4 linked regions of the Arabidopsis thaliana genome follow. The protein of the gene in region 4 interacts with the protein of the main gene of each other region in a pairwise test. Each region holds a gene or a part of one and is shown on either strand. Other genes may lie near its edges.

Evidence for each region.
Region 1: the proteins of AT3G09250 (region 4) and ASE2 interact in a two-hybrid assay, tested with the Arabidopsis thaliana proteins (one large-scale study listed by BioGRID).
Region 2: the proteins of AT3G09250 (region 4) and AT3G26340 interact in a two-hybrid assay, tested with the Arabidopsis thaliana proteins (one large-scale study listed by BioGRID).
Region 3: the proteins of AT3G09250 (region 4) and MPPBETA interact in a two-hybrid assay, tested with the Arabidopsis thaliana proteins (one large-scale study listed by BioGRID).

The regions. Positions count from the first base shown.
Region 1 is NC_003075.7:16,572,733-16,580,144, reverse strand, and holds ASE2 (GLN phosphoribosyl pyrophosphate amidotransferase 2), read left to right. Parts: upstream 1-3,391; 5' UTR 3,392-3,565; coding exon 3,566-5,251; 3' UTR 5,252-5,601; downstream 5,602-7,412. Other genes in the region: AT4G34750 (SAUR-like auxin-responsive protein family), read right to left, coding at 2,127-2,579. UniProt on the Arabidopsis thaliana protein: Catalyzes the first committed step of 'de novo purine biosynthesis from glutamine. Required for chloroplast biogenesis and cell division.
Region 2 is NC_003074.8:9,649,008-9,657,068, reverse strand, and holds AT3G26340 (N-terminal nucleophile aminohydrolases (Ntn hydrolases) superfamily protein), read left to right. Parts: upstream 1-4,132; 5' UTR 4,133-4,269; intron 4,270-4,486; 5' UTR 4,487-4,496; coding exon 4,497-4,616; intron 4,617-4,721; coding exon 4,722-4,851; intron 4,852-5,057; coding exon 5,058-5,164; intron 5,165-5,675; coding exon 5,676-5,810; intron 5,811-5,918; coding exon 5,919-6,022; intron 6,023-6,145; coding exon 6,146-6,246; intron 6,247-6,344; coding exon 6,345-6,469; 3' UTR 6,470-6,753; downstream 6,754-8,061. Other genes in the region: AT3G26370 (O-fucosyltransferase family protein), read right to left, coding at 1-183; AT3G26360 (Ribosomal protein S21 family protein), read left to right, coding at 696-991, 1,097-1,106; AT3G26350 (proline-rich receptor-like kinase), read left to right, coding at 2,339-3,409. UniProt on the Arabidopsis thaliana protein: The proteasome is a multicatalytic proteinase complex which is characterized by its ability to cleave peptides with Arg, Phe, Tyr, Leu, and Glu adjacent to the leaving group at neutral or slightly basic pH.
Region 3 is NC_003074.8:362,517-371,234, reverse strand, and holds MPPBETA (Insulinase (Peptidase family M16) protein), read right to left. Parts: upstream 5,687-8,718; 5' UTR 5,612-5,686; coding exon 4,940-5,611; intron 4,448-4,939; coding exon 4,283-4,447; intron 4,193-4,282; coding exon 4,055-4,192; intron 3,976-4,054; coding exon 3,824-3,975; intron 3,732-3,823; coding exon 3,623-3,731; intron 3,497-3,622; coding exon 3,398-3,496; intron 3,233-3,397; coding exon 3,167-3,232; intron 3,016-3,166; coding exon 2,904-3,015; intron 2,796-2,903; coding exon 2,701-2,795; 3' UTR 2,396-2,700; downstream 1-2,395. Other genes in the region: scpl25 (serine carboxypeptidase-like 25), read left to right, coding at 1-106, 190-333; AT3G02100 (UDP-Glycosyltransferase superfamily protein), read left to right, coding at 751-1,273, 1,426-1,849, 1,948-2,395; AT3G02080 (Ribosomal protein S19e family protein), read left to right, coding at 6,074-6,157, 6,561-6,651, 6,737-6,920, 7,025-7,097; AT3G02070 (Cysteine proteinases superfamily protein), read right to left, coding at 8,103-8,149, 8,233-8,289, 8,406-8,490. UniProt on the Arabidopsis thaliana protein: Catalytic subunit of the essential mitochondrial processing protease (MPP), which cleaves the mitochondrial sequence off newly imported precursors proteins. Preferentially, cleaves after an arginine at position P2.
Region 4 is NC_003074.8:2,835,444-2,842,387, reverse strand, and holds AT3G09250 (Nuclear transport factor 2 (NTF2) family protein), read right to left. Parts: upstream 3,389-6,944; 5' UTR 3,309-3,388; coding exon of another isoform or gene 3,276-3,308; intron 3,135-3,275; exon of another isoform or gene 2,910-3,134; coding exon of another isoform or gene 2,901-2,909; coding exon 2,762-2,900; intron 2,648-2,761; coding exon 2,134-2,647; coding exon of another isoform or gene 2,094-2,133; exon of another isoform or gene 2,033-2,093; coding exon 1,970-2,032; exon of another isoform or gene 1,828-1,969; coding exon 1,803-1,827; 3' UTR 1,774-1,802; downstream 1-1,773. Other genes in the region: PYK10 (Glycosyl hydrolase superfamily protein), read left to right, coding at 1-46, 145-400, 492-607, 697-914, 1,025-1,059, 1,142-1,244, 1,334-1,442, 1,524-1,731; BSK9 (kinase with tetratricopeptide repeat domain-containing protein), read left to right, coding at 4,288-4,369, 4,469-4,689, 4,958-5,093, 5,199-5,332, 5,394-5,499, 5,585-5,670, 5,758-5,979, 6,062-6,208 and 2 more.

The sequences.
Region 1 (7,412 bases), on a different chromosome or scaffold from region 4:
CTAAGCAACGAACGACCTAACAGCAAATAGTGTCTTACTTTTAGTAGGTTACGAAACGTCGGAATTCAACTTGCTCATAAATCATTTCTCCCTAGCTAGTGTAACTATTGACCTTTAATTCGGTTGGATTTTTTTGTTTAAAAGAGTTCCAAAGATTCAGACGGTAAACTTGTTAGGTTCAACTAGAGTTGGTTAGGTCTGCACGACTTTTTTTCAGATTATATATTAAATCTCGATGTTATTTGTGTCGCCTTGACCGATCTTTAGGCTATGGAGAGAAATCAGGATCAGTTTTAATCCGATCCATATTTTACGAATCTTGGCAGGGCCATGGTCGAAAACCTTCGAAAAGTAATGGCTTCGTATGATAGTTAACTAAAATCTAATAAAGATGGGTTAAAAATAGTAACTTTCCGAAGATATTCTTGATGAGTTAAAAATCATTGAATTGCTTAGTTAGTGCTTTGATGAATACTCACGCAAAAGCAATGTGATTTACCAAGATATTCCTGTCTAGTAAAAGCACAATATCAATCTGTCAACAATTTTTAATGAATATTAATTGGTTAATTTCTACGATATACTCGGAAATCCGGATACTCTTCTCTAGCTAGTGAAACAAAATAGTTATTATCTATAAGGAAATAGCTCTTAAATCATGAAAATTTTCTAAAAACCTCCAACACTGAGCTTATGCAAAGAACCTTTTTAGTGATCACATATTAAAAAAGTGGAAAGAGACCAGTATGTGTTCATCATCAATTCATCCTTAGAGAACATTAGGTTATATAGTAAAAGTGAAAACCCAAAGGAAACAGTAAGTAAGAAGTTGATCACGTTCGTGGTCAATTTAAAATGAAGGAAGAGGGTCATTTCTCACAATCATTAGTCATTTCTCACAACGCTAAGCTTATCCGAGATGATCTTTGTAGATAATACTTTATTTTGTTGTCGTTGTTGTAAATTTATACTCCTACTAAAGTCATATGTTTGTTTTTCTTAGAAGGTGGAGAAAATGCAAGTGGGCGATACTCCCAACTGTTAAATCAGCGTAAGATTTAGGTGATATGATTTGATGGAGGTACGTACCACGTACACCGTACAAATGGAAATTAGATAATGTTGGTCAAGGTAGGGAGAGATAATTTTAAAATTTAGAGGAGACAAATAGTCCACGATTATTTATTTTCTAATTTTCCACAAGTAAAAGTACTTTCTAATGTGATTAAAAATGTTCGGTCTAAAACATTTACATTTATTATGAAGGTATTTTTGACCAAACATATAACTTTTTTCTCTTTCAAATACACCAGTATAGCTAATAATATCACATAATTTTGCATAGATATCTACAAACATTAATTTGCTTGTATGATATTGACTTAGTAGCTATTCTTCATATAGTAAACGTAAATATATTTTTTTGGTGAGAATCATATATATAATATCTTTGTTTTCTATGTAACTTGTTTTTTTTTTTTTTTTGGTAAAAAATGTAACTTGGTTTTTCTTTACTTTCTTTGGTTTCTCATATCAAATCAGAGATGTTTACTGTTTTTGTTAAGTAATGTTACTCTAATTAGTGAAAATAGTGTTGAAACGGTAACTCTGAAATCAGAAAGGTATTTTGCAGATCATCTTTGGTTGTATAAACTGCAAATTAGGTTTGAAATCATCTTCTTGACCAAATATTTCGGTAACAAGAAGTCAAGAACTATAATGAGAAAATCAAAAAGCATCTTTCTTTAAGCAATAAACAAATAAATTGACAACAATAATTCCAAATTAATTTATTATTCCTCAGTTAAAATTCAGAAATCTGAATATACAAATTGAAAATAGCCAAGAGAAATATAAATAAGAATCTCTCGACCAGAATCAAAAATATCTAAATTAAAAACTGAGGGCTCCTCTCTCCAAAAAAACTATCTCCTTCATCAAATCTTCATCATTCTGGGACGACGACACTGGCGACAACCAAAAACAATATCAAACCCTAATTTTGCCATCTCCTTCCCAAAAACAAAGTCAAAAATCATTAAAAAAAATAGCAACGAAATTAAATTAAAACTTTCAAAATTAAATCTCTAACCAAAGTTTCAATCACATTCCGTTTGCAAATTTCATTAGCACACAGATTTTTCAGCAATCCCAGGAAGTAACGGACGAGATTCAACGTTGTTCTTCGCCAATCCAACATGACTACACCTCCGGAGATCCTCAAGCGTCGCCGCCGGAGGATTACCTCGTCCAGATGATGATGACGACTCACACCGAGTCACAATCGCAATAATATCCTCAAACAACGATTCATCACAAGGAATCGCTAACGGACCAACGTTAGCGAATCCATACTCTTCCTCAGCCTCAGCTAGAAGCCGTCGGAAAATCGGATGGTTCAAATGCTTAGCACGGACAACGTATCTCCGACGATTCTCACCGACGGAAACAGCAACGTGACCAGGAGGTACATCGGAAACAGGATCGTTGTTGCTAGATCCGATGTGAGCTTTTTTCTGCCATTGTTTAAGCATCTGACGGATCCGAACAACGCTTCCGATCTTATTGTTCTTCCCCATTGATATCGAACAATTGCTTCTTGTGGATTGCTTTTGCGTTTTTTGGCTCGCTTTTCCCCAGAAAATGAAGGGAAAGTTGGAGAGCAAAAAAAAAAAAAAAAAAAAAAGGTTAGAGAAGAGACATTTTTGCTTTAGGCGTTGCTTTCACCAAATTTTGGAATAATACGGCAAGCAGGGGAATATTGAAGGGAGCGTTACGGTATTTAAAGGTTAATCATTTAGGTTTCATTTTGCCCCTCTAACGTTTGCTAAATTACGATTTTACTCTTCTCTATTTATGGTTTTTTGATTTTTTTTCTCTTTTTTTTTCCTTCTTTATCTTATAAATAAAAGATTCATAGCTCTGTTTTTGTTTTCATTCTTTTTAACAAATTTTTTTCAGAAACAAAATTGGTCAACTTTTCATAATTGGTTTGTGTGTATTTTTTTTGGTAAGAATATTGAATTGATGCATATATCAATTTTTTTGTTTTTAATATATAATATCTTACTCAACACATAAAAGAAAATTAATAAATACTCAGATATCTTCTTCTTTATTTGATTTTCCTTAAGAATTTGAAAGAGCAGGCTTTTTACAAAGCCTCAAAGAAAAGCCCATATGGCTTTGGTTTGATGAATTAAGAATTGCTTTTCTCTAATTGTGTGCGCCCGACCCGCTTTGTATCAAGCCGACCCGTTTCGTTTTAAAAATGCATTTTGAGCCACAGAAAAGGGGACCCACCACGAAAAAAATAGAGATTCTCTTCTAAAATATCATCAAAGTACAAAGAATTTAAAGCCGAAAGAAAAATTGTTTAAAAAGATTCGCAGAAAAAAAAAAAAAAAGGGTGAGGCGGTCACTTCACTGACGACGTGTGCTATACATACACAGTCAAATACAACCCTTTCCCCAAATTGACCCCAAAACCAAAAACAAATCAGAAGAAAATTAAAATAAACCTAAAAGAGCAAATTTTTATTCGCATTGCTCTCAAAAATCATCCATGGCGGCCACCTCTAGCATCTCTTCTTCTCTATCTCTCAATGCTAAACCCAACAAGCTCTCTAACAACAACAACAACAATAAGCCTCACCGTTTCCTCCGTAATCCCTTCCTTAACCCCTCCTCCTCCTCTTTCTCTCCTCTTCCGGCTTCTATCTCCTCTTCTTCTTCTTCTCCTTCGTTTCCGCTCAGAGTTTCAAACCCTCTTACCCTGTTGGCGGCAGACAACGATGATTATGACGAGAAGCCTCGGGAAGAGTGTGGAGTTGTCGGAATCTACGGTGACTCAGAAGCTTCACGACTCTGTTACTTAGCTCTCCATGCGCTTCAGCATCGAGGTCAAGAAGGTGCAGGTATTGTTACCGTTAGTAAAGATAAGGTTCTTCAGACCATTACAGGTGTTGGTTTGGTCTCTGAGGTTTTCAGTGAATCCAAACTCGATCAATTACCAGGAGACATAGCCATTGGTCATGTCAGGTACTCGACTGCTGGTTCTTCTATGCTCAAGAACGTTCAGCCGTTTGTTGCTGGTTATCGATTTGGCTCTGTTGGTGTTGCTCACAATGGCAATTTAGTGAATTACACGAAATTGAGAGCTGATTTAGAGGAAAATGGTTCGATTTTCAATACTAGCTCTGATACTGAGGTTGTGCTTCATTTGATTGCCATTTCTAAAGCTAGACCCTTTTTCATGAGAATTGTTGATGCTTGTGAGAAGCTTCAAGGTGCTTATTCGATGGTGTTTGTGACTGAGGATAAGCTTGTTGCTGTTCGTGACCCACATGGGTTTAGGCCTTTAGTTATGGGTAGGAGAAGTAATGGAGCTGTTGTGTTTGCTTCTGAGACTTGTGCTCTTGATTTGATTGAAGCTACTTATGAGAGAGAGGTTTATCCTGGTGAGGTTTTAGTTGTGGATAAAGATGGTGTCAAATGTCAGTGTTTGATGCCTCATCCTGAGCCAAAGCAATGCATTTTCGAACATATTTACTTCTCGTTGCCTAATTCGATTGTCTTTGGTCGGTCTGTGTATGAGTCTAGGCATGTCTTTGGTGAGATTTTAGCTACTGAGTCACCTGTTGATTGTGATGTGGTGATCGCTGTGCCTGACTCGGGTGTTGTGGCTGCTCTTGGTTACGCGGCTAAAGCTGGTGTAGCGTTTCAGCAAGGTTTGATTAGGTCTCATTATGTTGGAAGGACTTTCATTGAGCCGTCTCAGAAAATCAGAGATTTTGGAGTGAAGCTGAAGCTATCGCCAGTCCGAGGAGTTTTAGAAGGGAAAAGAGTTGTTGTTGTTGATGATTCGATTGTTAGAGGAACAACTTCGTCCAAGATTGTGCGTTTATTGAGAGAAGCGGGTGCGAAAGAGGTTCACATGAGGATCGCGAGTCCTCCTATTATTGCATCTTGTTACTACGGAGTGGACACGCCTAGCTCAAATGAGTTGATATCGAATAGGATGAGTGTTGATGAAATCAGGGATTACATCGGATGTGATTCCCTTGCGTTTTTGTCGTTTGAGACGTTAAAGAAACATTTGGGGGAAGATTCTAGAAGCTTCTGCTATGCATGCTTCACGGGGGACTATCCGGTGAAGCCTACAGAGGATAAGGTGAAGCGAGGAGGAGATTTTATCGATGATGGTCTCGTTGGAGGAATCCACAACATTGAAGGAGGTTGGGTACGGTAGATAGCAGATATTCAAGTTCTGCATTATGATGATCAATTTTGGGTACTAATGGAGTAAGATGATGACGATATCTTGTTGAATTTTGTGTTCCATTTGACCTTAATTGCTGGCACATTTTTACTATTTTATTGAGTCTGGGATGGATTAAGATTTAAGGGTTGTTCTTGTCTGAATCTTTGAAAGGTTTTGTTTACTTTTGTCTCGTTAAGAATTCAAATCTTCTCTCTGTTTTCATTGCACTTTACTTAATCAGAAAATGTAATGGGTGATGTGGTATATGAGAGACATCTCTCTATTTACTAAAATTTGATTCGGTTATCGATTTGGTTATTTCGGTTGAATATGGTTTGAACTATTCCACGTCACCGTAGATGGTGCCAAATGACAACTATACCCTCAGAACAATGGATAAATTTGTTCTGTTTCGTTACTTCCTCAAATCCAAACACACAAAACAGAGGAATTTACGAGATTAAGGAACCATTGTGACGATGCCTAAGTTTCTACACACCCATCAATCTCACTTCTTCTTCCTCCATCATCAGACATTGTTGCTTGGATATTGAGAAGCTAGTCTTAGGTAGGTAGGTTCCTATATGAGTTTGAGTAAACGACGGTGATACATTTGAGTGTTGTTCAGCTAAACAAGCTTTTGAATGGTGAGCTTGTCTGTTTCAAATATGAGATACACGAAAGTTAGAGTAAGCCGACTAGATAAGCCATTGACATTTTGACCATGTCATTACAAACGGAAGCAGAGCAACTGGTTTATGGGGGCTTGTGCTTGTGGCGAGTTCTACGAAATTTTTGCTTGGAAAGGTAGTGATACGTTTAGGAGATGTGTGTGTTGTGTTGTGAATTTGCTTGTAGTTTGAGTAAGATTGTGCTAGTGGCATATTTTTCATTCTGTTTCGAGCATTATGTTAATACATGACTAGGTTTGACTTTTATAGATTTGTGTTACTTTACAAGGCTTGTTTTGTTGATGTTCCATCTCTTTCAACAAACACTCTAAATTGTGATTTGTGAACATCAAATAAATTACGTAGGTAGTAAGAAACATATTTGTTCTTGTAACGGTAACTTAATTTGACTTTTTGTTACATTGATCAATTTCCTTTTCTTCGCAAAACATAGAAAAAAGAGACAATTTCCTTTTTTCAATGGAGCGTTTGCTTATAAATACTCCAACTCTCGTATCTTCTTCTTCGTTGAGAAATCAAAATACCATCTTTTATCTTCTTCTTCTTCTTCTTCTTCTTTCTTTTTCATACCTGCAATTTCCCTGAGAGACTGATCACTGATGTGCTTTCGTTCTCTCGTGACAACAATCTTCAATCAATCGAGTTCACTTTTTAGTTCGTGACTCCCTAATTTCACACGATCAAAGATCTCGCCACCGAAACGCTTTCACCGAAGGATTCTTTCAACGGCGGCGAAGGAGATGATTACACGACGGAGAAGGATGCGCGGAAGACTATGGCCAAGAGAGGGATAGTGAAATTAACGACCAGTTGGCAGATTCGTAGGCTTTAAAACTACAATTCGACTGCGGAGGAAGAAGACAAATTTGTGTTTCATCGATCGATCGATAATCATCACCAGCGAGAACCAAGGTTTGCGCTTTCCTAATTTTCTTTTTCTTTAATAAAAGATTTTAAATTTTATAAGATTTTTTTTCTTGTGTTTCTTTTTTTAGATTTTTTTTTTGTTTTGATACTAAATCTATGTAAAAAATGTATATGGAAAACTAACCGGATTTTGGAACCAGGTTCGGTCGTTAGCGATTTCAAAAATTCAACTTGTTTTCATATCTTTATATAGATTTGGTATCGAAGGTTTTTGTTCGGACTTTTAAGAGTTTTTTTTTTTTTTTTTTTTTGTTTTGTTTGATACTAAATTTACATAAAGATATATGAAACTAACCGGATTTTGGATCCAGCTTCGGTCGTTATCGATTCCAAACATTCAACTTGTTTTCATATCATTTTTATATAGATTTGGTATCGAAGTTTTTTATTCTGATTTTTAAAAAAATTTATGACTTTTTTTTTTGTTTTGATACTAAATTTACGTCAAGAAATGTATATGGAAAACTAACCGGATTTTGGATCCAGCATCGGTTGTTAGCGATTCCAAACATTCAACTTGTTTTCATATC
Region 2 (8,061 bases), 6.8 Mb from region 4:
GTGAAACCAGATCGGACGGTCTCGATCTCTAGAAGGATGACGTGGGCGACCATCTTCGTCGTCTCCGCCGTTAGGAGAGTGATCGTGTACATGAGGCGATGAAGAATCCTCATCTCCGGCGGCACGTAACGGAGAAGAAGAAGATCGGCTACCGAGAGAGCTCGAGTGCCGTAACTCTGCCATTGCTCGCCTCGGACTAAAAGTCGCCAGCTTAATTTCTATATCCTCTCTTCCTTTTCTTCCTCTTCACTTTCTCTGTAGATAGATACAGTGCTTCTTCAGCTCTACTATGTGGACGCTGCCATTTGAGAGAGAGCTTGGAGATTCGAACACTCCACAGAGAGAGAGAGAAATTAAAGAAGCTTTTTTTTTTTGAAAGGCTTGAATGTTCTTCTTTAAAGTCAATACTCTCTGAATCAAACAGAAGATTAGATTTAAGGATATTTACAAAAACATCCCTATATCTCATAAAACTTACATAACCACCCCTATATTAGTAAATTCTCTGGTTTTTATCTCATTTCCTCCATCGCCTCTTTTTTAACCTAGACATTCTCCATCATCACTCAAATTGGCTCTTTGATTCTCTCCGGCGAGATTCCGACCGGTAAGTCGAATTCAGATCCTATCACTGTCTCTCGTCAATCTCATTTACGTTTTCAGAAACATACTTTTTCAGAAAACAAGTAAAAGAGATGAACACGATAGCGAAGCGAGTTACGGGGTTGGTGACTCGTCCGAGTCTAAACCAGCAGTTGCAGCAAGAGCGAGGGATAAGAGTGAAGGTGTTCTCCAATGATTTAGACAAGGCACTGACGATTTTGCAGAAGAAGATGCAATCGAGTGGAATGGAGAGGCTGATCAAAGGGACTCAGACTCATCACATTAAGAATTCGGAGAAGAAGGTTCTCGCTAGGAAGAATCTTGAACGCAGAATCAAATCCATTGACTTTGCTCGAAAACTCCAATCAATCCTCATCAAGAAAGTCAGGTAATGTTTTCTGATTTTTCTCAAAAGCTTCACATTTTTTAGGGTTTTAATGGTGTTGTTTAGTTTAGTAAGATCTTGCGTATTTCTTATTGTTATTCTTTGCAGAGGTTTATGAGAGCTGAGGTGAAGCAAGAGTGCTGCTATGTTGATCAGTACTAGTATCTGTGTGTGATATAACACAGTTTTACATTTTGAACTTTTGATGAGTTGAATCAATGTGGAATTGGAATTTTGGATTTGATTAGTTGTTTACTCTATGGCTTCTCTTTCGTAAGTTTTCAATGATCTTGAGAAAGAACATCAGATCTTAGGAGTACATGTATTGAAAGTTGTTTCAGGGCAAGTGCGTTGCTTCTCCTGCACTCTGTATGACTGTGTTCTGTGGGTCTCTGTGCTTGAATTGTGTTTCTTGTTCCGGCCATGATTACTCTGAGATTGTTCTGCTTTCTTCGCGTGTAAAGCGTAGGTTAGCTCTTTCCAGGCGTTTACACTTTCATTTTATGTATATTCATGTTACTATATACCATGCCATGCCAAAGAATGGGGATAAGAGATATAGGAAGAACAATTGCACCGAAGATCGTGGAAAATACCTTTTGTATGGGTTTAGTTTTCAGTTTGCTTCCAGCTTTTTTACTAGTATCTGTTTGGTCAGGCTCGATTGGTAGTTGTCTTTGTCAACGTTTGCAGTAACCGGCATTGCAGAGTTGGTTTCATGTTTGATGCTGCAGAAATTGAGCAGAGAACAGAGTATCTACCTGCAGAAGCAACGTGTTTCGCATCAGATTTGCGCTAACTAATCTGCGGCCTTCTTGATCTATGGGAGACATATCTTAACATGTTCATAGTTTACTGACATATTCGACAAGTTTTCGTAAGTTGCTCTGAGAATCAACATCTTTCCCCTGGAGTGAGCTGAAGTAGAAAGATTGACATATTCATGACTGTTACTGTAAGTCCTTAACCCTGTCTCTCCTAAAATCGAGATCTTTTTATTTGGGTTTTAGATAAATTGGACCGAGTAATTACAATTTTCTTAAAAAAACTTTTGAATGAGAAAAAGATACAGAGAATGTTTTTATACTTTTTCATGAGATTAGAAACTGATTTTAATTTTAGTGCAAGGAATCTACAACAAAGATTACTTGCTTCGTGCTATCACTTTCCTTCTTTATTTTGTTTTCTACAACAAAGAATCCTTACTTGAACTTGTCACCAAGTTATTCTCTCCCTCTCTCTATCTCATTTAGAAACTTAAAACAGTTCAAAATCTCTCTGTTCTCATTCTTTCATCTCAAGTCTTACTTAACTTAGTTTCCTTTGATGCTTTTTAGCTTCTTCATCTAAATGTCTCATCATCATCACCATGAAACTAACCCTCATTTTGCGCGAATTCCATCGCAGAATCCACATCTCAAAAGCGGTGGTGCTTCTACCTCACAAACATCTTCGAACCAACCACACATCCCGCCCATTCCGCACCCAAAAAAATCGCACCACAAAACCACGCAACCTCACCCAGTAGCTCCACCAGGAATCCTAATCAAGACTCGTGGTCGCCACCGTGAAAATCCAATCCAAGAACCGAAACATTCTGTAATACCTGTACCATTAAGCCCAGAGGAGAGACTTCCACCACGAAAAACTCAAAACTCATCGAAAAGACCATTGCTATTAAGCCCTGAAGATAATCAACAACAACGACCTCCACCACCACAAGCACCACAACGCAACGGAGGGGGTTATGGATCAACATTACCTCCAATACCCAAACCAAGTCCATGGAGAACCGCTCCAACACCATCCCCGCATCACCGCCGTGGCCCACGGTTACCACCACCCTCAAGAGAGACAAACGCAATGACATGGTCAGCTGCATTTTGCTGTGCAATATTCTGGGTCATTCTTATTCTCGGCGGTCTTATCATCCTAATCGTTTACCTCGTCTACCGTCCTCGCTCACCTTACGTCGACATCTCAGCTGCTAACCTAAACGCTGCTTATCTCGACATGGGTTTTCTTCTAAACGGTGATCTAACCATTTTAGCAAACGTCACAAACCCAAGCAAGAAAAGTAGTGTGGAGTTTAGCTATGTGACATTCGAGCTTTACTATTACAACACACTCATAGCAACTCAATACATTGAACCTTTCAAGGTTCCTAAGAAAACGTCAATGTTTGCGAATGTTCATCTTGTGAGCAGTCAGGTCCAGCTTCAGGCAACGCAGAGCCGGGAGCTGCAGCGTCAGATTGAAACAGGTCCGGTTTTGTTGAACCTGAGAGGAATGTTTCATGCACGTTCGCATATAGGACCATTGTTTAGGTACTCTTATAAGTTGCATACTCATTGCAGCGTTTCATTGAATGGTCCTCCTTTAGGAGCTATGCGAGCTAGAAGATGCAATACCAAACGCTAGCGATTTTGCAATTGCGTTTGCTCATTTTTTTTCTTTTACCTTTTTTTGCCACTGTTAGAAATAATTAATCTTCTGTATTTATTGGTATTACAAGTCTACAAGAATCGTTAATTGTTTAATCATTTTTTAATTGCGTCGTTAGTTTTTGTAAACTAGAATGTTCCAAACTTAAGAGGCTGTTTTAAGACTTTTAACTTTATAAATTTCACACGGAAAGAGAAGAATACTATCTAATATTTAAGTTTAAGGAGGTGTTTATTAATTTTGAATGCACATAGGATTTGGAATGCCTTGTTGATTTTAAAACCAAACATTAACATTAAATTTTTTAACTTTTAGATATGAACCAAAAATCTTGATATGGTGCTATATGAGGCAATTTCTCTTGTATGTTTAACCATAAACATTTTAAAATCTGTTAAAGTCCAATGTAAAATCCATAAAAATTTGATTAAAATAACACTTTATTCCAACTAATAAAATAAAATAATAAACGAATAATACCTGATAAATTTGATCCAAATATTTTGACTTGTCTTACTAAATTTATTTGAATAACAAATGATTAATAAAAAGTTATATACCTAATATTCATATAACCAAGGAAATTAAAAAAAAAAAAAAAGAAGAAAAGGCCAATAATGGCCCATGAAGCCCAACATAATGAACACTGTTCTGTCTTTAAACTTAAGCGGTATGACCCGAAATGATTCAACCCGACCCGATCGCCCATATCTTGCCCCGTTCGCATTCGGTTTGCCCAGAGCTCAAGAAACATCCCTCCATAATTTGCTTCTCTTTTCTCCAATTCTCACACATTCTTCTGCTTCGTTAATTTTCTACTCGATTTCGCTCTTCAGGTATGTCTCAGGCCCCTAATTGTCGTTACTTTGACTTTACAATGAAGTATTAGGGTTTATGGTTTATACACACACGTACAAAAGTAATCTCGTGCTAGATCCGATTTGAATTGTGAAAGGAAGCTCTTTTTGTTAATACCCTGATTTGGGTACCTCTCAAGCTTCATGATTTTGCATAATTTTATTGAATAATTGTGGGTATTCGATGATTCTGTAGAAATTTGACAATGAAGCTTGACACTAGTGGATTGGAGACAACTATGCCTGTGATTGGCTTTGGATCAAACAGTGAGATGCTTGATGGGTTTTCGTCTGCACCTTCGTTTGATCTTCCTCGTACCACTGATGTGAGTTTTAGTTACGAAATTAGAGTTCTTTCGGATTCCAATATACTTTGATTTTGCTTTTATTTGATTGTGATATGTTGCTTTTGTTTGTTGTTGGTTTTTTAGTTTGATGGGTTTCAGAAAAAAGCTGTGGAGATGGTGAAGCCTGCAAAGGGTACAACTACACTTGCGTTTATCTTTAAGGAAGGTGTTATGGTAGCTGCTGATTCTCGAGCTAGCATGGGAGGATATATCTGTATGTTTCTCTTTTGTTATGTTTATTTCAGATTTCTGTTTGTGTTTTAGTTGTGAGCTCTCTAAAGGATCCTAAAAATGGAGAATGAGTTAGATTCTTGTTATAGAAATTTCTAATCTTTGTTGTGTTGGCCAGTGATACTGTACAGTAAAAGAAAGGAGAAATTTCTGTGATTGCTGATGTTTTGTTTGTGTTTTTCCATTCAGCGTCGCAATCTGTGAAGAAGATTATTGAAATTAATCCTTATATGCTTGGTACAATGGCTGGTGGTGCTGCTGATTGTCAATTCTGGCACAGAAATCTGGGAATTAAGGTACCCTAACGTTAGTTTTTGTTAGCTTTCTGAATTGATGATTGGGTCTATCAGTTATCTTCCTTGCTGTGGCAATCCGGTTACTTCTTACCTTCCCTTTGTTCATAACTTCATATAGCTAATGTATTGATATCCGAAAGCTGTTGAGTCATTTGTTAGAGACTTAAAAACGTTTTGTATCCGTCTGTTTCCTGGAATAAGAATAGTCTTTATTATCTGTTTGGTGACCTAAGAACGTGTGTCTCTTTCAATTTTAGTAATGTATTTTTCTGCGTGGTGTGGTGGCTTTAGCTTCTCAGTACTGTGAACTAAACATTTATATATCATTATGCATCAATCTTTTTGTTTTGAGTTGTTGTATTCAAGGGCATACAAATGGTTTCGTTGATTTCTTGTATCCAAAATCTAGTCCCAGTTTTATCCTAATAGTTTGATTGCTAACTTGTATACCAAATCTGGATTATGTTGAAACTATGACCCTGATAGAGAGTGTTTTATTTGTGTATCATAGTGCCGTCTACATGAGCTGGCAAACAAAAGGAGAATCTCTGTTTCAGGAGCTTCAAAGCTTCTTGCTAACATGCTCTATTCATATCGTGGAATGGGACTTTCTGTTGGCACAATGATTGCTGGATGGGATGAAACAGTCAGTACCCTAAACTTTATATCCTAACTGTTATTTCCTTCTCGGTCTGTAGTTTCACTCACCAAAGCGAAAGTCGAGATGCTAAAATTGTAATCTTTTTTGAAATAGGGCCCTGGATTGTACTATGTTGACAACGAAGGAGGACGGCTTAAGGGAGACAGATTCTCTGTCGGTTCAGGTTCACCATACGCTTATGGTGTTCTGGACAGCGGGTACGTATCTATTTCAAGATATCATCATTGCCCTACTTCTCTTTTAGTCAAAGCCCAAACCAAAACTAGATCTTGCTTTACTATTATAACCACTCAATCTTATGGTTCTTTTTTTGTTAACAGATACAAATTCGATATGTCGGTTGAAGAAGCCTCAGAGTTAGCAAGGAGATCCATCTACCATGCTACATTCCGTGATGGAGCTAGTGGTGGAGTTGCTAGCGGTAAAGATCAATCCTTACTTCTTCTGCCAATACATCATCATCTTGTGATCCTTTTCCTTTAAATTTTGTATTAAACTTTCTTAAATCTGTATGATCAGTGTACCACGTTGGGCCGCAAGGATGGACGAAACTCTCTGGAGACGACGTTGGCGAGCTACATTACCATTATTACCCCGTGGCTCCAATCACCGCGGAACATGTGATGGAAGAGGCTGCCGAATAAGTACTGTGATTCTTGTCTATCTTACTAAGAGTTTTATTACATCACTTATGTTTTGTTCATCAATGAACAGAATCATAGATTCAAGTTTCTTTTGTATTGCGAATGATGTAGACGTTAGTTTGGCCACAATGATCACGTTGCATAATAGATAACATAATAGATAACCTGTTTCTTTCTTCTTCTGTTTTTCAATTTGTTGTACAATGTAGATACACACAAGTATCCAAAATATGTCCCTTAATGCTTAACTACTTTTCAAGTGACTGTACAGAAGATAATAAATTATTACTTGTAGAGACCATAAAACTAATTCACTTGATTCATCATACGATACAAGTTACCAATCCAAACCGAATTTTTAGCTGCAATCAAAACCAAGTTTTGTTTGTGAATGTCTTTTGCTTACCACTTTTTTTTTTACAGTGTTGTACTATTTTCCGCGCTTTTTTACTGTTAATATGTTTTTAACCGTTTTAAGTCACATAGGACCCATGAATGGTATAGATTATAAAATACCATGTTCTATGGTGGTAGTTCAAATTTTAGAAAAAAGTAGCTAACTAGAAAACAATATCGTGATGTTTTTTTTTCCAATTATTATTTATCCAACTAAAGGTTTTATGGAAAAACCAAAGAAGAAGAAAATATGATGACATATAGCATCTAGTGATCCATGTGATTCATGTGAATGTCAGAATATCTTGGATTACCTAACCAATTCTATATTCATCATCTTTTTCTTCTGAAATAATGCTTTTAACAATTCAGAATTGTTAATTTTTGTAAACATATAGAGATTAATTAAAACGATCTTGATTTTTTTTATAGAAGCAATTAATCAAGAAGGTATGCTATTGAAAGATAGGCTTCGATTGGTGACTACTTTTTAGGAAAGGAATGGATAGGAACAACATGTTCCTTATTGTTCCTCTTTTCTTTACCATTCAACAGTAATTTTTTTTCCAAATTATAACATGTGGATCGTACACTATTCCTATTTATTCCTTATTTTTTGAGGAATCGAAGAAGAAAATTGTTCCTTCCGAAATTTGATGAGGAACAAACAGAAAAACAAATTAAACATTTATTAATTAAAACTTAAAAATTAAATTTATGATAACGTAGTAAACATAATTACTTATTGAATGTCAATGCATATACGTAGGATGAAAAATATTAAAGCCAAACATGATTACTTATATACATCAATTATAGTATGTGTGGAAGGAAAGGCACTGTCAAATTATGCTTGAACTCATTATTACAGAGCTAAAATCAAATGACCACTCACTATAATTACCATATTAGTTTCACGTAGTTTTGTAGTTCTTTTTATAAATTTTTTCAATTTGTTTAATATTTTATTTAGAAAAATAATTTATTTATTTTTTAATTTTTGTTATTATTTTGTATGTTTTGGTTATCATTTACAATAATATTTGTTCTATTTTGCCACTACACTCATTCCTCTTTATTTCTATTTTATTTTTTTTTTCTTTATTATTTTTTTTTAGTCATGTTCCTCTTCATTCCTTATATTTCTTTATAGGTCACCAATCAAACCTATAGATTAATTTGATGATCTCTTCTCA
Region 3 (8,718 bases), 2.5 Mb from region 4:
TGGTGACGTCGATTCAGTTGTACCAGTGACAGCTACTAGATACTCACTAGCAAGACTTAGTTTGAGTACCAAACTTCCTTGGTATCCTTGGTATGTCAAGAAACAGGTATGTGTAAAGAAAACCCGAATCTTGTTTGGTTATCTCTGGTTTGACAAAGAAATCGATTTGAACCGAAATTGTGGATTTAGGTTGGAGGATGGACGGAAGTGTATGAAGGACTAACGTTCGTGACGGTTAGAGGAGCAGGTCACGAGGTGCCATTGTTCAAGCCACGTGCTGCTTTTGAGCTTTTTAAGTATTTCTTGAGAGGCAAGCCACTTCCAAAGGCTTAAAAAAATTGAAGTCAAGAGAGAGATTGTAACATTTGAAATCATGCCCGAGAAAAATGAAAATGTAAAGTTTGGGTTATGAGATGGTATTTAATTAAATCTAGTCTATTAATGACAGCAAGTATTTAATTATTTAGCCTATAATTGTTTTACGTTTACATTCTCCTAAGTCCTGAAGGCCTTCATCAATTTGTTTCCCATATTCACATGAGAAAATGCTAGTTTGGTGTGTCATTAACTAAGCTCATTTGCTCTCTTGTTATACACAAGTCAAACTTGGGATCAAACTTGTCTTGATTCCTAAAGAAAAACGACAAAATCAATTAGAATTAGTTGTCGAGTCATTCCGTCTTAATCTTGTAAATTTTCCTATAAATGAATGAATTTTTATGTATATATAGACAATAACTCAAAATACATATGGATAATAACTCAAATAAAAGAATGGGAAGGCCACATGTTGTGGTCATACCTTACCCTGCACAAGGTCATGTTCTTCCTCTAATAAGTTTCTCACGTTACCTTGCGAAACAAGGAATCCAAATTACATTCATAAACACCGAGTTTAACCATAACCGCATCATCAGTTCCTTACCCAATTCACCTCATGAAGATTATGTTGGGGATCAGATCAATCTTGTTTCAATCCCTGACGGTTTAGAAGATTCACCAGAAGAGAGGAACATTCCAGGGAAGTTGTCGGAGTCTGTTTTGCGTTTTATGCCTAAAAAAGTAGAGGAATTGATCGAGAGGATGATGGCAGAAACTAGCGGTGGTACGATCATTAGCTGCGTTGTAGCGGATCAGAGCTTGGGATGGGCAATTGAAGTTGCAGCTAAGTTTGGGATCAGACGCACCGCGTTTTGTCCTGCTGCAGCTGCGTCTATGGTTCTTGGATTTAGTATTCAAAAACTTATCGATGATGGTCTCATAGATTCTGATGGTAAGAACAAATATAACCTTTTGTTTCAAAATTTAATAGTATCATATTAAGTGATGTTTTTGGAAAATGGTCATGTTTTATTTTATTTGATGATTCATTGGTAGAAGAATTTTGAAAAAGATGCGTTATATAGCTATTGTTTCTTTATGTAGGGACTGTGAGAGTAAATAAGACAATTCAACTATCTCCCGGGATGCCAAAGATGGAAACAGACAAGTTTGTGTGGGTTTGTCTGAAGAACAAAGAATCTCAGAAAAACATATTCCAACTTATGCTTCAAAACAATAACTCGATCGAGTCAACGGATTGGTTGTTGTGTAACTCTGTCCATGAACTTGAAACTGCAGCATTTGGATTGGGCCCGAATATAGTACCAATTGGGCCCATTGGTTGGGCTCATAGTCTTGAAGAGGGATCCACGTCACTAGGAAGCTTTTTACCTCATGACCGGGATTGTCTAGATTGGTTGGACCGGCAGATTCCCGGTTCGGTTATATATGTTGCCTTTGGGAGTTTTGGGGTCATGGGCAACCCTCAGTTAGAAGAGCTAGCAATTGGTCTAGAGCTTACCAAGAGGTAATGATTTGGACATAACCGGGTTTGTGTGTTCCGGTTTACCCTACTTACTCTATGCGTGTCTATTATGTAATAAGTTATGTTGATCCATTCACCAGGCCAGTTTTGTGGGTCACTGGTGATCAACAACCAATCAAACTTGGGTCGGATCGAGTCAAAGTGGTGAGATGGGCTCCACAACGGGAGGTCCTTTCTTCTGGAGCCATTGGGTGTTTTGTGAGCCATTGTGGATGGAATTCAACTCTGGAAGGAGCCCAAAATGGCATACCATTTCTATGCATCCCTTATTTTGCAGACCAATTTATCAACAAAGCATATATATGCGATGTGTGGAAGATTGGATTAGGACTTGAAAGAGACGCACGAGGAGTGGTTCCGAGGTTAGAGGTTAAGAAGAAGATCGATGAGATCATGAGAGACGGTGGAGAGTATGAAGAACGAGCTATGAAGGTTAAAGAGATTGTGATGAAAAGTGTTGCAAAAGATGGAATATCTTGTGAGAATCTTAATAAATTTGTCAACTGGATCAAATCACAAGTGAATTGATAGAGTTTCACAAGAAGAAATGAAATGTATCCAATTCAAGTTTTCAACCAAACATCAAAGAACTTATTAGTATGTGTATGGGAAAATTATGAAGAGAACAAAAAAAACACACACAGAGGATCTCTAGCATTTTTCCAGTAGAGGACAAAGAGTAAATGGTACACTTATTTTACCAGCGATGATGGTAAATTATGAAGATACAGTAAGAAAAACTCAAAAATAATGAATCCATCATCACCTCGTTCTGCTCTCTCCGCCTACGGAATCTCCCCGTGGGCGAACCTTGCGATTCAGTGACCTTTATTTCAGAGCCTTAGTACCGGTTCCAGTAGGTTCTGCGTCTGAATTTGTTGTAGTCTGGCAAATCTTGGATTGGACCAATAGCTGAGATTGCAATGTCCTGCACATAATCCCAAAAATCACCTTAATCACTCTTGACGTTTGTACTCTTGTTTAGCAGTCTAATCCTTGGAGGATAGAGAGAGCAAGAGGGAGAGAGAAATAGAACTTACTTTGTCATAGATATATTTGTTGGCAACACGTTTTACCGTGCTGGCATCAACAGCATCGATCCTAGCAAAGAGTTCAGCGGTTGGGATTCTACGCCCATAGGTCAGCAGCTGCATTTAGAACAAAAATCCAGGCGTTTTATTAGAATGATTTTGAAGATAAACACCAACTATAAGGAAAGTCAAGGTTTGTTATCTTTGACCAATGCATTTATAAACTTATAAGTTCTAAATTAAGATGCTTAAATGATTCATCGCATACCTGACGACCAATATCTTCAGCAATTGGGCTGGTTCCATCCATGTGAAGTAACAATGATGATTTCAGCTGCAGAGAAATTTAAAATCAGTTGGCATTTAAAATCTATCTACAAATAAGTAAGGAGTTCGAAGAAACAGGAGGAAAAGAAAAAAAAAACTTTAAACAGATCACATTTGTAACTAGCTTAAAGCTGAATCTTGGGAAAGAGAGAAAGAACAGTTGGGCGTTTACCTGATTTCGTGCACGTGTCACATCAGCGTCTGAAACTCGGTAGGCCAGCTTGGTTACCTCATACATAATGGCATATGATAAATCATCCAAGCAATCGGCCTGAAAAAAGTACCTTACAAGATGTTAAAAGAGATATAATACGAGGCATTCATGAGATGAAACTGCTAATATTGACAAATACAAGAAAGAGATGAAACTAAGATAGCTATGGAGTTCTGGGTTGACCTTGGCAACTGCATAAACGCCGAACAGTCCAGTATCCTTGTAGTTAGTGTTGAATGCCATTATGCTTTCTGCTATTTCATTAATGGCAACCCTCTGGGTCAGGTCAGAACTGCACATAGAACCATAATGTTCATCAACACATTGCGAAATAGCTTTTCATTAAATCCATCATTAGAAATATTAGCCAGAGAGTAAACTCACCCCACGTGTTTTCCACCACCAACATTTTTGTTCCACGAACCCAACATAGTTTGCATAACCATAAGAGCAACGGAATCTGGATCAGTCCAAGATGCTCCCTCAAAGGCAACAGCAAATTGTGCAAGGGGTAGGTCGTCATCAATCATTCGGACCTGAGAAGAATTTCACGGACTAAAGAATTTAGAAAGATGGAACATTGCATATAACAAAATCATATGGTTGTGTCCTTACCTCAGAACCAGTAAAACTAGCAGGTTCATTGGCAACCAGTTGAGAAGTAGTTGTTGGATCAGACGACAACTTGGTAAATAGCTTCTTCACTTGCTCAACAACTTCCTCATGCTTAACAGCTCCTGCAGCAGCAATCACCTGAAAATGTTTTGGATGAACCAAGATAAGAATCCTAAAAAATTCAATAAGTGATTGTAGGAAATGATAAGAAGTAACCAAAATCTATACCATCCTGGAAGCAGTGTAGTGAGTCTTAATGTAGTTCTGTAGATCCTCTCTGGTGATCGATTTGACGTTCTGAGCAGGTCCCAAAATAGTTCTTCCAAGGGGTGTGTATTGGAATGCAGTGGCATGTAAATGGTCAAGAACCACTTCATCGGTTTGTCCCTCCACCTACGACCAAACCAATTATCAAAAAACTAAAGCTTAATGTGTATTCTATCTTTAACTGATTAAAGAAACAAATAACTCTAACCAACACGTAGAGCAGAGTACCAAGCGCTCTAGTATCTCCCTTCATGCACATTTCCCAACAACAATACGACCAACATATGACTAAGCCAATAAAACCAAAACATGCGAGAGATAATCCAAAAACAGAACAAAGTTTTCATTTTTAGAGCAATGGTTTATATAAACACAATAACATCTCTCTATAGAACATGTGCTTATGCCAATACAACCTTAAAAAAAGGGAAGATAACTTAAGAACATACTAAAGTTTTCATTTTTAGGCAGGCACACGGGAAACTGAAACTAAGGGTATTGATCTAAAAAAACACAAACTACGGTCCATAGTACCACCTCACTAAAAAAAAACGAAAGATAAATCGAGGACAGAACAAAAAGTTTAGTTTTTTAAGTACAGAGATAACAAATACATACCTCTTGCATTTCCCTGAGGATGACATCTCGTTCGCGGTTAATTCTCTGTTCCTCGAACTTAGAATTCTGTAGGATATCAGCCAAGACATCCAAAGCCTGGTTCACATTGGAATCCAAAACCTTAGCATAATAAGTGGTCTGTTCCCTCGATGTATACGCGTTCAGGTGACCACCAATATCTTCGATCTCTTCCTCCAACGCTCTCACTGTACGCCTATCCGTGCCTTTGAATATCATATGCTCCAAAAAATGAGCCGTTCCGTTGGTCTCATCGGACTCAAACCGAGATCCAGCGTCGATCCAGACTCCAACGGTGGCGGTCTTAGCCGAGAGATTTGACTCAGTAGCGACTCGTAGACCATTGGGCAAGGTAGTGACACGAGTCTCCGGAGCTGACAAGATGTGATTGTGGGAAGCGAGGATCGGATGTGGAGATGCGTATTTAAGGAACCTCTTATCAGGATTCTCGAGCTTCTTGATCTTATTTTTTATAATCTCAGCCGCGTGGTCGTATGGCATAAGATGCGGCGGCGGTGGAGATAGAGCCGTCGGAGATGCGGAAGCCGGCACCGAATCGATAGCTGAAAACGAAGAGGAAGATCGTGTGGCTTGAGTGAGGAATAAACGCCTCTGAGATCGGCGAGCTAGGGACAGTAGATTCTTCATCGCCATGGCTGATGATGGCTTCTCTTCGCTCTCTCAATCTCTCTAGGGTTTGATTAAAAAGCCAAAAATGGCAGAGACGACTTGAGATGCGAACTAATAGCCAGTGGTTAAGCGATTATAAAACGACGTCATTTAATGTTACTAATTAAGAACGGTGTCGTTTAGGACATAATACTAGTCAACTGATATAATAAGGCCGTAGTAGGCGCATTATCGTATCAAAGAACATTATTCATACTGGTTAGATAGTAAGGCCGTATGAAGAATTAGGCCCATTAGTGTGGGCTGAGAACGGGTTGGATTTTTTGACCCGGATATGGGGAGAAAACCCTAATCGAAATATCGTGGCCGTATATATAAGTTTTGTTATTGGAGAATAAAAACCCTAGTCTTTGCGGAGAGAGATTCAGCTGCGTTGGGCAAAATCCCAGACGAAGATCAGTGATTAGTCTTTTGATAACTTGAGCCATGGCAACTGGTAAAACTGTGAAAGACGTCTCGCCTCATGACTTCGTCAAGGCTTATGCTTCTCATCTCAAGCGATCTGGCAAGGTTAGTGGATAAAGTCTCTTCTTTTTTGTTTGAGTAGAAATGTTCCAAGCTTTATTTGTATGTACTCGAATAAAGATGGATTAAGCTCAAATTGCAATGATTTCCATTAGTTCATAGATATTTCTGTTGATTGTTGGCATTTCTCTATAATACTTTGAATTGTGTAATGTCTGTTGAATGTATTGAAATTTTGTATATGTTGCTAATATTTATTGAATCACAAGTGTTACTCTTAGTATTTGTTAATAGACAGCTTAAGATTCAAATGCTTGGGATTAATATTGTGATTTGCTTTGTTACGTCTGTTGAATTAATTTACACTAGCAATTACAATAGCTTGAATGTCAAGCTCCACTTTTTACAATTGTTTTGGTTTTCACGAGACCATAATTGTTTGTTTCAGATCGAGCTTCCCACATGGACAGACATTGTGAAGACCGGAAAGTTGAAGGAGCTTGCACCATATGATCCTGATTGGTACTACATCAGAGCTGGTTAGTTCTCTTTCATCCTAGTTTGTCTCTTATTATCTCTATGCGTTTATAAAGTTTTCAATTAGCAAAATGACTTCTTGTGCAGCATCTATGGCAAGGAAGGTTTACCTGAGGGGAGGACTTGGTGTTGGTGCTTTCCGTAGAATCTATGGTGGAAGCAAGAGGAACGGTAGTCGCCCACCTCACTTTTGCAAAAGCAGTGGTGGTATTGCCCGTCACATCCTCCAACAGCTGGAGACAATGAACATTGTTGAGCTCGACACCAAAGGGTAACATTACTACTACTACTACTACTACTACTACTACGTTAGAGGTGTTTCTCTTTAAAAATGTTTTTATGCTAATACTAGTATCACTTTTGTTCTTCTTTCAGAGGAAGAAGGATCACTTCCAGTGGCCAAAGGGATTTGGACCAGGTTGCTGGCCGTATTGCAGTTGAACCTTGAAGATCTTAATGTTCTTTTTTGTTCTTCTTCTACTTTTGAGGCCATTGTGCTTTTAGTGTTTATCTTTACTTTTAAGAATTGTTACCATTTCATTCTCAAGACTTGCGCTCATAATGTTCAAAAATTTATCTTTTTGGCGATGGCTTTGGACATTGAAACTTATGTCTTCAACCGTATTTTTGTGTTCGTCCGATTTAAGGATAATAGGATATGGTTTCTTCATCCCTAAATTGCTAATTTCATCCTTCTTTAGTGCCACTAATCTCACTTTTATGCTTCACTTTTAACCGAAATTTCTTTGAGAGAAGAGAAGCAAAGATTAGATATCTTCATCACATTATATTCTTTGTTGTATTCTCTCCATTCATAGGCAAAGAGATGTCATCTTTCTTCAATATCATAGCTAGCTTTTGGTTTCCTTAGAGATAGCCTCGACCTTTCTTATTCCAAACTAGCAATGATGCTCTCTGTTGCTCTCGGCGGAAGATGTAGCCAGTCCCAACGTACATTGGACTTTGAAGTAGTCCATCCAAAACTCTCATGAATCATGATACTAACATGAAAGTAGACAGTGTTGTAGTTCGTATAACGACATGGTCTGCGGGAGATAAACAGTTCATCTTTCAAATGCACAAGAAGAAATTTCGAAGGACAAAAGGACAAAACTGAATCTTATATGGATAATATGATTTTGGACTGGATAATTCATGGAAATCCAGGTTTCATACCAACCAAAAACTTCCCTTATTGCTTCTGATAAGCTTTAAAAAGGGCCCATCAAATTCAAGAGATTCTCCACTAAGGTTATGGAAACTGTCATATTTTCTTTGTCTCGGTCCGACTATATCATATTCGGCTTTAAAATGTTACAGCTCAAGCGAGTTCGTAAGTAGTATACAGAGGTGTAAAGGAAGAGTTTTCGCGTATGAGACGGTAGACTTATCACAAACTGACTGAAAAATAGTTGAAGGGTCTTAATATAATACATGTATGGTGGCGTGCCTTCTAGAACAACCAATGTTTTCTCTTTGGCTTATGCTGAACTGGAGCAGCTACACTCAAAAAGGAAGATCATAATCAGTGTCATCAAGCACAAAGCCACCATTTCGTTACATTTCCAAAGGACAAAACAAACCTTGAATATCGTATAAAGAGTTATAATGCACCTCTGACCAGAAACTTAACCATAACACTGCACAATAGCAAACATAAAGAGTCACAACTTGTAAAACTGTATTTGTCAGATGTCACTTCATATCAAAAAGCGATATGCGAAAGTGAAAGGAAACTTTTTTTTTGTAGTCTCACCACCCTTAGGTGCTTGGTATTGAGGTATAATTTCAATGAAACAAGTGTCTCTAAAGGATGTCAGCAAGCATATCTTTGCTGCAAACTGCACAAAGGGAGATGCAAAGGAAATTTTGTTAGAAAAGAAAGGAAAATTACTGGCTATTTCTCATAAGCACTAGTCCTAGTCTGTATGTGGTTAAGTTACATGGCCTCTCAGGAAATGTGAAGTGTTAATCTATGTTATGTAAACATCCAAATGGAAAAGAATCACAATTTTGTCTTCTTGAGAACTATAATAGCCATCAGGTGATATGAGAACAAAGCAAAGATC
Region 4 (6,944 bases):
AAGATTTAGAAGATGAATATGGCGGCTTTTTAAGCGAAAGGATTGTGTAAGTTTTTCTGTTGGAAAACGAACCCCAATCACTTTTTGTTTTCTTTGATATGCGAATATAAATGGTATATTCAACAATTTTTTGCAATATTGTAGGAAGGATTTCCGAGAGTATGCAGATTTTGTTTTCCAAGAATACGGTGGAAAAGTGAAACATTGGATCACTTTCAATGAGCCATGGGTTTTCTCGCACGCTGGCTATGACGTAGGCAAAAAGGCACCTGGTCGTTGCTCTTCTTACGTCAATGCTAAATGCCAAGACGGACGATCAGGATACGAGGCTTACCTTGTCACTCACAATCTCCTTATCTCTCACGCAGAAGCAGTTGAAGCTTACCGGAAATGCGAAAAGGTACATCACATATATAAATCATAATTAGTTATCTATCATCTTTCGGATCTGAAAATAGTTTGTTTTGTATTATGTTAAATTATGACCATAGTGTAAAGGTGGGAAGATCGGAATTGCACATAGTCCTGCTTGGTTCGAAGCACATGACCTTGCTGATTCACAAGACGGTGCGTCCATCGACCGTGCACTTGACTTTATTTTGGGATGGTAAGTATAAGTTATAACATCCCTAATTAATTAGTACTATACTAAATATCTTGAAATTTTATATGACGATATTTTGATGGTTTTTGTAGGCATCTAGACACAACTACATTTGGAGATTATCCACAGATCATGAAAGACATTGTTGGACATAGATTGCCTAAATTTACAACTGAGCAGAAAGCAAAACTGAAAGCTTCTACCGATTTCGTTGGGCTCAACTACTATACTTCAGTGTTTTCAAACCATTTGGAGAAACCTGATCCTTCAAAACCAAGATGGATGCAAGATTCTCTTATTACATGGGAGTGTAAGTTTGTTTTGCCCTTACTTGAAACCGAACCAAGAAAACCAATGGCAACAAATCAAAGGGAAAATGTTTGTTTTTGGTACTAATCGAAACCTATCTCTTCTTTTCAGCTAAGAATGCGCAAAATTACGCCATTGGTAGCAAGGTATAAATTTAATAGCAATCTGAAATTTTTATGTGCTACATTTGTCTATGATGCAACATTCTCACCTCTGTTTTATTTTCAGCCTTTGACCGCTGCATTGAACGTTTACTCGAGAGGTTTTAGAAGTCTGTTGAAGTACATTAAGGACAAATACGCAAATCCGGAAATTATGATCATGGAAAACGGTAACTAGAGATTCTATTGTTACTGTCAACTATTATTTGGTTGATTTTATCTTAGAACTAAATATATTGATGTTGATGTTCTTCTTTAGGATATGGAGAAGAACTAGGGGCCTCAGATTCTGTTGCTGTTGGTACCGCTGATCATAACAGGAAATATTATCTTCAGAGGCATCTTTTGAGTATGCAAGAAGCTGTTTGGTATGTCCTATTTCCTTTTCATCTGATATACTAACAATTGTAGTGAAGAATCTAATAAAAACATTTGTGTAATATCTGCAGCATCGACAAAGTGAATGTTACAGGATACTTTGTATGGTCATTGTTGGATAACTTCGAGTGGCAAGATGGTTACAAAAACAGATTTGGACTCTACTACGTTGATTTCAAAAATAACCTCACACGTTACGAGAAAGAATCCGGCAAGTATTACAAGGATTTCCTCAGTCAAGGTGTTCGTCCATCCGCGCTCAAGAAGGATGAGCTTTAAGCTATTTCTGTTTCAATGTGTTTTTCCTATGTTTTACTTTGTGAGTGACCAAGATTCATGAGGTCTTGGTTCTAATAAAAAGAGTTTATTTTTCTTCTCATTTTTCATTGTCTACATGATTTGCCAGATCTACAAGGCTCTGGTTATAATAAAATGATCCTTTGTGCCTCTTCTAGTACAAACGTCACAACTTATGCCTCTTCTCGTTTGTGTGGCGTTTTCATTCCCAATCGCCAACCTCAGAAATAAAAAACAGTCCTTCATCACCCTTAAGCAAACCACCAATGTATCCCACCGCAACCTCCAAACGCATATAAAAATAAAACGTTTTGAAAATGTGTATCGTTTCTTCGATTCTTTGATCAAATATCAACAGGAGAAGCATGGTGAATGCATATAAACCATTGTCCATCGATCCGTTCAAACACATTCGACACAAACTGAGCTCCCCAACTACTACTCCCTTTCGTCTTCACAAACTCCATACACGTTACATAACCTACTTCTCCTCGGACATGAACCTCGACATCTTTCAGCTCAATCAGTAACGGAAACTCATAGTTCATCCACACAAGCTCCCAGCTTTCCATCACGTAATCATAACCAGTTATGCCTTTGGCCCCTGGATGTACACAGCACGGGTTTCCTGATTTTGACCATAGTGATTGCATCGCAGCTAAATCCCCGTTTCTGAAAGATTGGTAGAACCGAGAATTGGCTGATAAAACAGAGGCTTTGTTGTCTTCTTGAAGCTCTTTTAGTTTATCACGGATTTTAGCTGCCTCCACATAATTCTCTTCCTGGACCGCAGTCTCGAGATCTTGCTTCAACGTGTTCTCATCCATTGAAATGCTTTCAACATCCGCAGTTTGGTTATTTTCTTCGCGTTTGACTCGACAAGGCCTTAAACGGGAGCCTGCTTCAAATGTTACCAGAACACTAATCAGAACCAAGTCTAAAGAAACCGGTCTTATCCAAAACCAGATCTTCTACTAGATAAGATGCTCGAACTAAAATCAAGTAGACTCACACGGTTCTTTGTTTTGCAGCTTGAGATGAGCTGACCCAAATGTATTGCTAGCTGAAACCATGTTGCAGTGAATCGGATAAGATTTAGGCAAGTGAAGCAGCCTCATGGAACCACCAAACGGAGAAGTGATCTCTACCATGTTTGAAACCTATCAGGGAGCAAACGATTCAAGGCCATATTAGCACAACAATAGAATCACATAACCATTTGCATCAAGTGGAGTAGCAACAAATTCGGATATTGAACATCTCAGTGTTGAAATTCAAACACTTTCTGATCGAATTTCTTCTAGGGTTTAATCTTAGTACAATACCTACTAATCCGTAAGAATTCTCACACCAGACAAGATTAGAACTCTGTATATGAACCATAAATCATCCAATATCAATGGGCTCTTATTGAAAATCGACTAAATTTCGAGATTACTTACGAGAAACGTATGATAAACATTTAAGTATAGATTAGAGCTGAAGAATCAAGGAAGTAAATCTCAAAGAGAAGAATTATAGCTTACTTTACAAAAAACTCCAGACCCATGAAGCGCCATGGTAACAAGGAATCGAAATATTCAAAGAGATTTCACGGAAAATCGAGTATTTGATCAATCATGCAATGTGATTATGTGAAAGCACAGAGAGGAGAGACTTCAGACTCCAAAGATAAAATTAATGGGCTTTGCATTAGGGCCCAAGTTTCATCATAAATGGTCCGTAAGCTAACTTTTATTTAGGCCTATACTGATTTTATTTGTTTTTTAATCTATTTATTTATTTTTATATAAGTCACCTAAAAACGAGCGTCCCATTACAAACTAGACTTTTTTTGTAGAGTGAATTTTGCCAGTAATGAGCGAAATATACCAAAACGATTTGATAGCGATATTTGCTTAAATGTAGTTAAACGTATGGATGGATTAAAAAAAAAAAGGTTAGTGTGATGGATATTACACACCCAGTCTCGAAAAGCTGCGGTAACTAGCAAAAATTAATTTTAATGAGAATTTTTCTGTTTTTTTTTTTTTTGGTTACAACTTAAATGAGATATTTTAATTTCGGTTTAAACGTGAATGAAATGTATGTAAGCAAAATCCATTGAATATAGACTTTAAAATTGAGGCTAAAGTAAAGACCAAACTCAACAGTCTAATGATTATTTACCAAAATAAAAACCTGTAATGTTTATGCTCAAAATTAATCTAATACCGAGTAATTTAAATGGAACAAGCAAACAATATTTTCTTTAAATTAATACATAGATCATGTCGACATTTTATCCTTATAATAGTATAAAGGTTGATCTTTTCAAAAAAAAAAAAAGTATATATTGGTCATCAACTATTTAATTATGTGATATATAAATAAATGATATTTTTGGGTCTATTTTACCACTTTCTCCGTAAAACTTTCCAACAATATTCGCTAGGCAAAAAAGAAAAAAATAATAATTTATTTTCTCCCTGCAGGCGGGAGTTTTTAACCAAGCACTTGAAAAGTTTTTCTCCACCGGAGAAACTACTGTCGCCGGCGATGGGCTGCATTTGTTTCAAACGTTGGCGTCGATCGTCTTCTCCGTCGATAACATCCACCATCACCGTCATCGACGATCTAGGTAAAATCCAACGAATTCGCCAGCCACTCCTCCTATGCGTTAATTAGATTCTGAAGAAGACGATGATCGAGAGAACTAACCTAATAGTTTTGGCTGCAGATAATAAAGAAGAAGATGAAGGAAGTACTTGTCCTAATTTCCTGGAGTTCAGCTTGGAACAGTTGAGAGTCGCAACTGACGGATTCTCCGCCGACAACATCGTGTCGGAGCACAACGAGAGGGTTCCTAACATCGTCTACAAAGGCCAGCTCAACGACGGAAGAAAGATCGCCGTCAAGCGGTTTCAACGGCTTTCATGGCCTGATTCTTTAGAATTCATCGTTCGTGTCCTTTACCCATCAATACTTATTGATTCTTCTCTGTTTGGTTTTGTATAAGATTTGACTAGTGATCGCTTATTCATCTGATTTGACTTTATTGGTTACTAACTCCGTGATACTTCTCTTGAATGTTGCAATGTTCTGGATTCTGATTTGTTGCAGAGGAGGCAAATTTCAAGTCTGTTTGACTTAGTAAAGATTCAATTCGGTTCTATGCTTGATCTGTTGCAGAGGAAAATTTCTTGAATATGGCATATTTGTTATTCAGGAGGAAGCACAAGCTGTAGGGAGATGTAGGAGTGAGCATATGGCCAATTTGATCGGTTGTTGCTCAGAAGGTCACGAGAGGTTGCTTGTTGCTGAGTACATGCCTAATGAAACACTTGCTAAGCATCTCTTTCACTGTGAGACTCAAACATTTCAAGTTCTTGATCTCTTTTGGCCTTAAACTTTACTTTAGAGTTTCATTATTGTGTCTAAGTTGTTTTTACTCTAAAATGGTTTTTCAGGGGAGAAAAGACCAATGAAGTGGGAAATGAGGTTGAGAGTTGCGTTACATACTGCAACAGCCTTGGAGTACTGTAATGATTGGGGAATAGATTTGTATCACGATCTTAACACCTACAGAATATTGTTTGACAAGGTAAGAAACTTCATACGCGGTTTGATGTTATCATAAGTTATTTATAAAAGTGATGGAACAGGTTGGGAATCCTAGGCTGTCTTGTTTTGGTCTCATGAAGTGTAGCCGAGAGGGAAAGAGCTATAGTACCAACTTGGCATTTGCTCCTCCTGAATATTTACGTCTAGGTATGTGTTTTATGTTTAATTTTCTTGAGAGAAAACTTCATCAGCTGAAATCTCAAAGATGTTTTTCTTTTACTTTTATTGTTAGGTACTGTGATACCGGAGAGTGTCACATTTAGCTTCGGAACCTTGTTACTGGATCTTATGAGCGGCAGACATATTCCACCAAACCATGTAACTTTCTTCTCACAAAGCAAAATGTGTATATACATAATGTATCTTTAGCAGTTTCATTGATTTTTAGCTTATCTGTCATTTCAGGCACTTGATCTGTTCCGTGGTAAAAACTATTTGGTGCTAATGGATTCAGCTCTGGATGGTCAATTCTCTGATGAGGATAGAACAGAACTTATCCATCTAGCTTCCCGCTGTTTGCGCCCTGAACCAGACGAGAGGCCAAGCATAAAGTTTCTTATGTCAGCTCTTTCAAGACTTGAGAAAAGAGCTGAGTTATGGCCCAACGTCAAAGAAGAAAACATCCCTGTAAGTCATTACTACATTAAATCTTCCAAGGTTTCGGGTTCTGCAGGCTTTCTTATGTGTACATGGGACTTAATAATGACAGACTCCATCATACACTGAACCTGCAACAAAGGAGCCATTGCCCTTGACCCCTTTCGGAGAAGCATGCTGGAGAGTGGATCTAAGTGGTATGCACGAACTACTCGAGAAACTCGGGTATGGAGAGGATGATGTGGTGGTCACAAATGAGGTACATTATATTTTTGAGAAACATATCTCTTTTGACACATCTCAATATCTCATCATGAGGAAAAAAATATTGCTGCAGTTCTCATTCCAAATGTGGACGGGTCAAATGCAAGAGAATATGGATTACAAGAAGCACGGAGATGCCGCATTTCGTGCTAAAGATTTTGAAACCGCAATCGAATTCTACACAGAGGTATCATTTTGAATCATCAAGAAACCGTCATCTTTTACCAGCAGAAAATACAATAGATATAGATATATGAATTTTTTCCGTATGTACAGTTCATGAGTGGAGCACCAGTGGTATCACCAACAGTATTAGCCAGACGGTGTCTATGTTACCTAATGAGTGATATGTTCCGCGAGGCTCTAAGTGATGCGATGCAAACTCAGGTCGCATCGCCAGAGTTTTCGATCGCTCTCTACTTACAAGCAGCTTGTCTTTTAAAGCTTGGGATGGAGGCTGAAGCTAAAGAAGCTCTTAGACATGGCTCTTCTCTCGAAGCTTTTTAGAGTTACTACGACGACAACAAAAAAGCCAGATTTGTACAGCTTCTTTCTCTGCATAAGTATGTAGAAATGTGAATATACACATAGCACATATACATGTTTGCTTCTTTGACTTGGTTTGAGAGAATCTTGGTGAACCATCAGTTTTTTGTGTGCTAAAACCGGATTTTCTTGCCGTTTTCCCTTGATCTTAACTGGATTGTGGTTTTTGTTACTACACATTCACA